Saccharomyces cerevisiae S288C: one gene and its partners. The protein of the gene in region 1 interacts with the protein of each later gene in a biochemical or structural test. Each region holds a gene or a part of one and is shown on either strand. Other genes may lie near its edges. The genes, in order: RTT105, RFA2 and RTT101.

Region 1 (3,107 bases):
GCCAGAACAAATCAAAAAATTGGAGAAATATGATCCGAATACCGATCCCGTTCAAGATTATGTGAAGGATCGTCATCATGGCCTGAAATGAACGGAATTATTTGTATATTTTAGCAGTTTGATTGTGAAGTTTTCTTTAATACGTAGGCAAATTCTTACGTCATCCTTTATATAGTGAATGTAAACTGCTGTTTTACGGTACGCTAACCGTAGCGAACTGAGACTGTATATGGTAAACAGTTAGTTGATCGTATGGCAGAGAATCTAGTTATTCTGAATACGTTCCCTTCACTTGAGCAGCTCAAAATATACACACTTAAACGCGATAGAATATACATAGAAACGTAGAAACGACATCAGTCGCTTTCGCTTCCTGCCAGAAGGATTAATAGAAGGGGAAGAGCCAGCTCCGTAGTTAGCGCATGCGGAAAGATGCCCATACTCAACAGCTCAGTTAAATATGACAGGCTAGGGCTATTTCTGTAATAGCAATGATGCCATCACGTATGAGAGTTCGGATACGAGTTGTTCTCATAAACATTTTTATTAGCATTGTTCAAAAAGTGTTCTAATTCATTTTTATAAGTTTCCTGTTTTTCAATAAAGGCAAGCAACTCATCGTCTTCCAAATCCTCGTTGTTTTGCCATTCCATATATTCAGCCATGTCAGAGGGTAGAGCGTTCTTTTGTGCTTCCTGCTTTAGCCTTTGCATTTCTCTAAGGTGTTCACCTTGCATGATCATTTCTTCCATCTTTTCTAGGCCACCGCGTACTTTGGTCATTTTGTCTCGACGTCTAGTTAATCTCATGGACTCCAACCGTGATCTCTGATCCGCTCGTTGTCGTTCTGAAGGGGCAATAGGGGATGAAGAATGAGGCCCAAAAAAATCCTGTGAACGATCTCGTCTACTTGATATTATATCTGAAACCACAGAAGGGGAAGTGTCAATGTGCATAGTGCCACTTTGTTGTTTGTTCTCTTCTGATAGTCTACGTGTAGATGTTCTTAAAGATTGAGGTGTTAAACTCCGGTCAAAAGAAACACCTGTACGCTGTAGTTCTGCGGCCTTCTCTTCATTCCAATCGAAGCAACAGTCATCCGAATTTAAATTATGATTGCTGTACATTTCCGAGCTAAACTCTTTGACTGTATTTTGTTCCTTTTAATGGTCAATTAGTCGTGTTGTTTGGCGATGACTTTCTTATTGTCATTTCGGCTTTGTATATGAACGCGAAATCGCATCCCGGTTGAGGCACTTAATTAAACTCTGGCTTATGACGATGAGAACGTACAAATAGTAGTCATTTGCTAATTACTGATTGTGTATCTTATATATATACTTATAAAAAGTTGTTAAGAGGGAAAACTAAGAAATTCGATGCTGCTACTTCATCGCATCTTTGTATTTATCTAATCAACCTCTTCAACCGTTGGGCCGTTGTCTGGTGCTCCAGTGGGGCCTGCTCCAGCACCCGGAACTGGGCCTGCTCCTGGGGCACCACCTGCAGCTCCGTAAAATTTACTCATAATGGGGTTTGCAACACCTTCTAGTTCCTTTTGCCTTTCCTTGTATTCCTCGGTGGAGGCCGCTTGCGAAGCATCTAACCAATTTATAGCATCTTGGGCGGCGGCTTCCAATTTCCTGGCATCCTCTTCACCCACCTTCTCCTTGAAGTTATTTTCGCTCACAGAATTTTTCAAAGTAAACGCGTACGATTCTAGCTGATTCTTAGCTTGAACACGTTGAGCTTCTTGTTCATCTTCGGCCTTGAACTTTTCTGCCTCAGCAACCATTTTATCGATATCTTCCTTCGATAATCTTCCCTTATCGTTAGTAATTGTAATCTTGTTAGATTTACCAGTACCTTTTTCAACGGCAGATACGTTCAGAATACCATTTGCATCGATATCAAATGTAACTTCAATTTGTGGTACGCCTCTTGGAGCGGGTGGAATACCGCTCAACTCAAATTTACCCAGTAGATTGTTGTCTTTTGTCCTTGTCCTTTCACCCTCAAAAACTTGTATCAACACACCAGGTTGGTTGTCAGCGTAGGTGGAAAACACTTCCGATTTTTTTGTTGGGATAGTCGAATTTCTTGGGATCAACTTTGTCATAATACCACCTGCAGTTTCAATACCTAGAGATAATGGTGCAACATCCAGCAACAGTAAATCTTGGGTCGTCGACGACTGGTCACCCGTTAAGATGGCAGCCTGTACGGCAGCACCATAAGCGACGGCCTCATCAGGGTTAATCGAACGGTTTGGTTCTTTACCATTGAAAAAATCAGAAACCAGTTTTTGTACTTTTGGAATTCTTGTTGAACCACCAACAAGTACAATTTCATCAATTTGTGACTTATCTAATTTTGAATCAGCCAAAACTTTTTCCACTGGCTCCAATGTAGATCTAAACAAATCAGCACATAATTCTTCAAATCTTGCCCTTGTAATGGAAGTATAGAAATCGATACCCTCAAATAATGAATCTATTTCTATAGATGTCTGAGCAGACGAAGACAGAGTTCTCTTGGCCCTTTCAGCGGCGGTCCTTAACCTCCTTAGGGACCTTTGGTTAGTTGTTAGATCCTTTTTATTTTTTCTTTTGAACTCCTCGGCTAGAAAGTTAACCAGCCTACTATCGAAATCTTCACCACCCAAGTGAGTGTCACCAGCAGTAGCCTTAACCTCAAAGACACCTTCATCTATGGATAGCAGAGAGACATCAAAAGTACCACCACCTAAATCAAAGATCAAGACGTTGTGCTCCTTCTGCGATTTCTTGTCCAGCCCATACGCAATAGCGGCAGCTGTAGGTTCATTAATGATACGAAGAACGTTCAAGCCCGCGATTGTACCGGCATCTTTTGTTGCTTGCCTTTGTGAATCGTTGAAATAGGCTGGAACCGTTACTACAGCATCTTTCACTTCTGTTCCTAAAAAGTTCTCAGCAGTCTCCTTCATCTTTGTCAAGATCATTGAGGAAATTTCTTCTGGAGTAAATGTCTTTGTCTCGCCTTTATATTCCACTTGCACTACCGGTTTACCTCCCTTGTCAATCACTTTGAATGGGTAATGCTTAGCATCGTTCGTCACTTCTGGA
Region 2 (3,325 bases), on another chromosome or scaffold:
AGCTGGTGGATGTATGACAGCCTGCTAGCAACATTGATTTCGCTTGAACTTGGAACCAATTTACTCTTAATCTTCAAATCCAATTCTTCTACGAGGGATTGCATTTGTAAAAGTCCTCTTTCAATAGTTTTAGCCTTTGTTGTCTCAATAATTGACCTTTCCCATAATGATCGGGCGAAAATAGACCAATTTTTGTCACCGTTTTGATATAATATTCTAGAAAGCAAAGCAGTAAGTTCTTCTTCCACAAGAGGATCCTTGGCCGGAGTTGTGTTCTTTATGGTGTAAAGACGTAACAGCAACTGGATGTTGTCGTAATCAGATAGGGTAGGTTGATCGTTAGGGTTCAAATCCAGCAACAACTTTGGAATATTTTCTTGACGTAGTGCCAATGGCAATAGTTTATCTTCTTCATAACCTTCATTTAGGTCTACCTTTTGTCTTTTACTATAAATTTGCTCGTCTAGAGGTTCATCAGCAATGGACTCAAAATGAGGCTTCTCCAATAATAGATCGGACTCTAAAGCAAATGTTTCTGGTGTAGCAGATGTCGTTCTCAAAGCAAAATTTTGAAATGTGAAGGATTTGGCAAGAATGATCAAACCGGCATGAGCCTTTTGCTGATATTTAGTTCTAGTAGCGCGTGCACCCGTCATTACAAATTCAAAATTTGTTATCTTTTTCGCTCTGGTCAAGGATGGCAGGCACAAATGTTCTGTGTTGATGGCCAATGAACATTTGACATTCTCTAGATAGTACATTGCACAAAGTTCTCTTTTGAAATCTTCGTGAATACTCTCCGGTAATTCCTTAGTTATCGCATATGCAAGGTCAGCAGACTGATATATTGCAGATGCAACACTAGCTTGGAACCCAGAAGGTTCTGGAATCAGTGACAATTGCGTCAAAAGAGCTCTTGCCCACCACCAATAAGCTACAGCTAATAATCCAGGAGTAGACTCAGCAGAGATAATAGGTAGCGGAATTTCTTGATCCGGGGTAACATCAAATAAGCTTTTTTGGCCGGTTATCCTTTCAAGTAATAATAGTGATAAAACCAAATACAATGGATCATCCATAAATTCGTAGGCAGGCTGGCCCATAATGGCTAATGAGCGGGAAAGGGCTGTATTAACTGCTCCTATTTCAATTCCAGTTTTGCCAAACAAACCTGAGATTGCTTTCAACCTAGCTGCTGGGCCGGTGTAGTTATTTTGAATAAAGGTCTGTAAGAGGGCAATAGCCAAAAATAGCATCTCATTTTCTTGGCCCATTTTGAAAACCTCAACGTTAAGAAAGTCATTTAGAGCAGCAATAACACTAGATGTGGATATTTCTCCCGAAATACTAATTTTTCCCTTAAATTTGTCCACAAATTGCTGTACTAGCTGGTATGATTCACCACTGATGATATGTTCAGCCTTTTTCACATATGTCTGGTCGAAAGAACCACTTTTCAGAGATTCTACTTCTGCAGACAGCAATAATTTTGCATGCAATAACGTCTCCATAATTTTGCAACCACTAGTTTACTTTTTGCCTGGTCTGATAGCTTCTTTTTAGCAATTCCTTTGGCCTCGATGAGCTTCCATTTTCAATTTTCATCTTTTTTTTCACGATGCGAAGTTTCTTAGATAATTATCGCCATATACGAAACGCGTTAGGAAACGCGTTCTTTCCTTTATAATAAGCAATATTATATCAACTTAAGGTGGAAGTAATGTGGCAAAATCGATAGCGACTATCTAGAACAGGCTAGTTTAAGCATATACATAATGGCAAGTATGTATTAGTGCTAGGAATTGGAGGATTTGCTCTTTTCTGCATCATTTTTTTTATTTTTATTGGCGAATGTTAAAATTACTAACAATGGATGGGATTCCAATACAGCCTATCAACCATATAACGAATATTCATCAGTAACGGGCGGTGGCTTTGAGAACTCTGAGTCCCGCCCAGGTAGTGGGGAGTCGGAAACTAACACTAGAGTTAACACCTTGACACCTGTGACGATCAAACAAATTCTAGAGTCCAAACAGGATATTCAGGACGGCCCCTTCGTTTCGCATAACCAAGAACTTCATCACGTTTGTTTTGTAGGTGTGGTGAGAAACATTACAGACCATACTGCAAATATTTTTTTAACTATTGAGGATGGAACTGGTCAAATAGAAGTGAGAAAATGGAGCGAAGATGCAAATGACTTGGCTGCCGGTAACGATGACTCTTCTGGTAAAGGTTATGGTTCGCAAGTCGCCCAACAATTTGAAATTGGCGGTTACGTAAAAGTTTTTGGTGCTTTGAAAGAGTTTGGTGGTAAGAAAAATATACAGTATGCGGTGATTAAGCCCATAGATTCATTCAATGAAGTGTTGACGCATCACTTGGAAGTCATCAAATGTCATTCCATAGCCAGTGGAATGATGAAACAACCTTTGGAGAGTGCATCCAACAACAATGGGCAATCATTATTTGTCAAGGATGATAACGATACATCTTCCGGCTCCAGTCCGTTACAAAGAATTCTAGAATTTTGTAAGAAGCAATGTGAGGGCAAAGACGCTAATTCATTCGCTGTTCCCATTCCATTGATCTCGCAATCCTTGAATTTGGATGAAACTACCGTCAGAAACTGCTGTACGACCTTGACTGACCAGGGTTTTATCTACCCAACTTTTGATGACAATAACTTCTTTGCCCTATGAAAATATATAGATTATTTTTTTAGCATTTCTTAGTATTCGTTTGTGTATTTCTACTAGGTAAGTACCAAAATTTGCCGGAAATAGAGTGGAAAATGGAACCCGTTCCAAGAAGGGGTAAGATGCATGAATATTAAGTTGGTTGCATAAATATGCTATATAAAGTCCACTACAAAAAGTCATTTATTTTTGCCCGTAAGAATAAAGAACGAATCCGTCCTTATCTCTGACTTCAATGGGAACATTTACACGCAGTACGGGCTTCAATAATAGTTCCCAGTCGTATCTGGTTCTAGGTGTACATAATGAAAAATGTCTCAGCATTCTTATTTTGACAGCTTTGAATTTTGACAAATTTCTCAGGAAACACCAGAGGTTAATATTTGGAATATCTTTAAAATTCTCTGGATCTTGGAAATCATTGAAAAAATTTTCCAATGTCACATTTTGTAAGAACTCCTCCACATCTAAATCTCTATATTCGATGGTTCGGTTCTTCAATTTGATTAAACTATCTCTTAGGCAACGCCTTACAGAGTTGTTCCAATAGTAAGTGTGGTGAATGTCTGATTCAGGGCTCATTACTGTACTTAAATTTGGAACTGCATTAGCATTTGGTATGT
Region 3 (4,872 bases), on another chromosome or scaffold:
CGGTTTCTCAAATAACAGTATAAATATTTAGTTCACATTTAGAGACGGCTGAATCGTAACAAAATATAGTTCTTATAGATCTAAAGTACGAACACTCCTAATGTATCGCTTATATTGAAGTTTGCTGTGAATCTAGGACGCGTCTGCTGAAATATGCTGAATCAGTTTCCGGTGAAAGACTTTAATTTTGATATTTACCTACGTTATTTACAAGTGAATTGAAATATTCATCAACGTTATGTGTAACTGTCAATATTCTCCAAAAATCCTTTGAATTCCAAGCCGATTAAATCATTTCTATCACAATCATAAATCATGCCCTTTTCGACTTTAATTGTTAAGCCTTTATCTTTAATCTTCACTGAAAATTTAGGCCCCGAGAAATATTTCCATTGTTCGCTCTGTAAGGTGTTCATAGCATCTTTAATCTCATCGTTTATAGATTTAAACTCGTCACAGTAATATATAGGTATTTCGCCGTCAACTTTGAATGTTTTCTGAAAACGCTCGGATACCACTGCAATGAACTGATTAGGAGTAATTATACCAACATTTTTGATTTTTGATTTTACACTATGAACTCCACTTGACTCCCATTCCATATTGTTCGGTAGTGAGGGTTCTAATAAGCCGCTAAACTGTTCTAAATCCGCATTAAGCAACATCGTTGCATGATGGTATGCTTTGCCACCGGCAATTTTATAAGCACTGCCACTAATTTTAAACCCGTCCTGAATAATATCTCCTCTCTCATTCAAATCTAGTCTTAGTTCGGGATTCAATGAATTTAACCACTTAATTATCATTTTGTTGAAAAACTTTGTTTCGAATTTCTCCCTTGATGTTAAATATGAATAATTAACATTGCCCAAATCATGCAGTACAGTGCCACCTCCAGAAAATCTTCTAAGTAGTTCGAAATTCTTACTCTTCAGCTTAGCAAGATCTACTTCCTGCCACAGATTTTGGTTTTTGCCTATAACGGCGCACCTATCATTGATGTAAAATAACAGTCTGCAATTATCGGGACCTCTTTTGGCTCTTGGTGTATTCTTGAAAACATAGTTTTCAAGGGCCAAATTATAATAAGGACTGGTGGATAAACTTTGTATAACAAATCTGCCCTTTGCCTTTACTATATTTTCCAATTGTGAAGCAGACATGATCTGTTTGGCATATCCAATATTATAGAAATTGTACAAGTCTTTATTAAAAGCACTGATATCTTCTTCCATAGAGCTGGCCTTCGTCGTATCATAATCAGATTTACCTTCATCCTGCAAAATTGAAACGTTATCATTTGAAGGTGTAAACATGTTTTCATACATTGAGTTTATATCATGATATTTATCGTCTGCGTCTTTTGCCCATCGTGTAAGTGTGTGAAATAAAGTGGTGCAATGTATGAGGTTTCGCTGTCCCACATATCGAGGGGAGAGTGCCCAATTACTTAGCATCATAGACATAATGTAAACATCAAAGAAAAGTCTAGTGTTTTCTTCTTTTGTATTCATCAAAAATTCTACATACGTGAGCTCGGAGATTTTTGGATGTTCAATATTCCTGATTAAGTATGACGAAGCGGAACGCATAGCTATCCTTTGCGTAATGATGAATATGAACAATGCGAATGAAGATCATCGATATCTTTGCACTAAAAGACTACTTTGAAGGAATCCTCAAGATATTAAACCCACCAATCTTTTTTACTGGTATAAATTCTCGTACGGGTTCACAGGAACAATGATAAATGAGAGCGTTTCCAAGAGAGAAGGATTCCACGAGTCTATAAGCAGAGAGACGAGTGCAAGCAACGCTTTAGGACTATACAATAAATTTAACGATGAGCGAAATCCCAGGTATCGAACGATGATTGCTGAGCTGCACGAGTTTTTTCACCTTACTTTAGCTGAAACTATAACTGAAACTGACGTGAAAGAATTGGAGTGTAATAAAGAAAAGGCCGCTAAATTTAGAAAGCTAATGCCTAAGATGTTGAACAATTGCCGTGAATTAACGCAAAGGAAATCATACATTCCTTACAACTCAGAATTTAATGGGAATGACGAAAAGCAAAAGAAGTTTCAGCTGCTACATCAACACCAAATTGTGCTGAGTTTTCAAGAATTTTGTGATGAATTGGCAAAGTTAATAATTGACGCGCACGTCCTTAGCTTTTTGACCAGATGCGACTATTCTTATGAAATTATACCCAAAAATTGGACCTCTTTTTACAAGCTATTTCAGTACGTAATGGGTGCCGTTGGTCCTATTATATCGTATGTGCCGGTAAATTATCCCATGATAAGAAAAGAACTAGGATTTGAGACCTTAACGATATTTCAGTATTATGATTCCAAACTTTTCGAATGTATGAAGTCACATTTTGGAAGGGAATTTTCCACCCTTGTAAGCGCTACTATTCATCACTATATTCATATGTTTCCAATAACGAATACAATGTTAGAGAAGGAAGTTCCTATGCTCCGTATAATGTCTAACTGCAATTTTAGTATAGAGGGCTTGAGCCCCAAAGATTTTTATATGAAAACTCTCAGACAATATTACTGTGAGGAATCAAATTTAAGGCCGAGGCTGGAAACTTTCAAGAATTTTAAGGTACTATTGACGAGGAATGCATTATTAGCATCTTTATTTTCCCCTGAATGGGTCAGCGATGCAAATGACCTATTTATAAGCCATCTACTGTTGAACAAGAAGTCTATTAGCGAATACATAGAAATTGGGAAGGACACTTATGATGAAGAAAAAGAGAGATATTTCAAAACTGAGACACACTTTAGCTTATTGATGTTTAGAAATGCTTTTGAAGCAAAAAATATGCTGTCAAAATTCAAGGAATTCTGTGATGATGCCGTTTCAGAAAAGTTAAAGGCAGCATATGGATCCAATCATGATACTGAAAGGCTATTTGATGAGGTAGTTCAGCTAGCTAATGTAGATCACCTCAAAATATACTCCGATTCCATCGAGTACCATTTATGTAATTTACTTGGAAGTACCAGCAAAGCCATAGAACAGTATGTCAAATATTTTGAGTCACATTTATTCATCATCGTCAGAAAGATAAAAACAACTAAAAAAGACCTACCCAGAGATATGAAAATAAAGTATCTCAACGAAAATCTTCCTATATTGAGACTGAAGTTCGTTAACCTTCCCACATTTCCTAATTTTTTCGAAAGATCAATTTTCAGAAAGACGATCTTACAAAGTGATCAAAATTCCTCATTTATTAAGGATATATTACCTGTTTACAAAGACAGCCTCATGGAACTTTTCAAACAAAGAATCATAACAAATGTCTCACAAGAGGATGAAATGCGATACCGAGATCAATATCAACCCTATTTATCGCAATTCTTTCAGCCGGTAGAGGTTATGGCAGATCTGAGAATCAAATATGCATCGTTCTTGTCGTTTTATGAGAATATCGAGGCTGCTGTGAAGTTCGGGAAGACATACAATGAAAACAACAGCAAGTCATTTTTCCCACTTATCTTTGATAGAGAAAGAATTCCCAAAGTTTTTCAGCAATCCAACGAAGTAAAGAAAAATTTTGTCCTACCTCAAGAGATGGATGATACGTGGAACCAATTTCTCCGTAATTATCACGAGCAGAATAAAGTGGAAGATTCAGATGCTTCCAAAAAAGAGCTATATCCGATGTGGAACTTGCACCACTGCGAAGTGGAGTCGCCTTATATCATACAGGATGGAACTAACCTAATATTTGAATTGACCCTTTTCCAAACATGTGTGCTGACTTTATTCAACGAAAGCGATCATTTGACCTTGCAAGTTATATCAGAGCAAACGAAACTGGCGTACAAAGACTTAGCGCTAGTCTTAAAATCCTTCTGCAATTATAAAATTCTGACAAGAGATATTGACAACACATACAGTATCAACGAGAGCTTCAAACCTGATATGAAAAAAGTGAAAAATGGGAAACTACGTGTGGTTCTACCGAGAACCGCGTCTCTCCAAAGTAGCAACACAGGCGGTGAAAGAACCAGTTCTGCACACCACGAAGGAAGTAATTCCCAATGGACCCAAGAATTACTAAAGGCATGCATAACTAGATCCGTTAAGAGCGAGAGGAATGGGCTAGACTACGACCATTTATTTGAAACGGTAAAGCAGCAGATAAAAGGCTTTAGTGTTGGTGAGTTCAAAGACGCCTTGGCCAAGTTGTTACGAGACAAATTCATAACTAGGGACGAATCAACAGCAACTTACAAGTACTAAGACTGGTGCCATCTTATATATTACCTAACTACTGAGATAGTTTATAATCCGTACCAGCCCTAACTTTTTTTCCGACAGCATTTTATTTCCTTTCGTTTTTTTCGACTTCGTCGCTTTCTCCTCCATATAAAAAAACATCAAGAGATAAAAACTATCTTTCTTGTCCTTGTCCACGTTCAATACAACAGTTACACTGCAAACGACATTAGTGCAAATGCAAACTGTAGTCAATTTGCCGTATGCCTGACATACAACAGGTGTTGTATGAGTGTGACAAGGACACTTTATATATCTTTTTCAATCTCTCTATCCGGCCTTCTTGGCAGGATAGCTTTTCGTTTCAATTTGTTAATGATGATAACCAAAGATGCATAGTTCAACTGATTGAACATACTATCGAAATGAAGATAAAAATTTCCATCGAAATTAGTCTTTCGCTCCTATCTGAACATTACAAAAGAAACGAAAACTGTATTAGTAATATGCTTGTAATTGGAGAAGGGCCGAGGGGCGAGACCATTGTGGAGCGATTTTAAACCTCTTGCAGCACGAATCGTAACGGACCCAGCGCGTACTTTATTCTCCCTGTGCATTCGTGGA

Evidence for each region.
Region 2: the proteins of RTT105 (region 1) and RFA2 form a complex in vitro, tested with the Saccharomyces cerevisiae proteins (3 studies listed by BioGRID).
Region 3: the proteins of RTT105 (region 1) and RTT101 form a complex in vitro, tested with the Saccharomyces cerevisiae proteins (one study listed by BioGRID).

What each region holds. Positions count from the first base shown.
Region 1 is NC_001137.3:364,822-367,928, reverse strand, and holds RTT105 (Rtt105p), read right to left. Parts: upstream 1,128-3,107; coding exon 501-1,127; downstream 1-500. Other genes in the region: NUP157 (Nup157p), read left to right, coding at 1-91; Hsp70 family chaperone SSA4, read right to left, coding at 1,412-3,107. UniProt on the Saccharomyces cerevisiae protein: Involved in regulation of Ty1 transposition. Inhibits Ty1 transposition at a post-transcriptional and pre-integrational stage of the Ty1 retrotransposition cycle.
Region 2 is NC_001146.8:46,512-49,836, forward strand, and holds RFA2 (Rfa2p), read left to right. Parts: upstream 1-1,775; coding exon 1,776-1,782; intron 1,783-1,890; coding exon 1,891-2,705; downstream 2,706-3,325. Other genes in the region: tetratricopeptide repeat-containing protein EMW1, read right to left, coding at 1-1,511; putative SCF ubiquitin ligase complex subunit SKP2, read right to left, coding at 2,886-3,325. UniProt on the Saccharomyces cerevisiae protein: Binds to single-stranded sequences participating in DNA replication in addition to those mediating transcriptional repression (URS1) and activation (CAR1). Stimulates the activity of a cognate strand exchange protein (SEP1).
Region 3 is NC_001142.9:348,980-353,851, reverse strand, and holds RTT101 (cullin RTT101), read left to right. Parts: upstream 1-1,743; coding exon 1,744-4,272; downstream 4,273-4,872. Other genes in the region: AIM22 (putative lipoate--protein ligase), read right to left, coding at 237-1,466; YJL047C-A (uncharacterized protein), read left to right, coding at 4,674-4,808. UniProt on the Saccharomyces cerevisiae protein: Core component of multiple cullin-RING-based E3 ubiquitin-protein ligase complexes (CRLs), which mediate the ubiquitination of target proteins.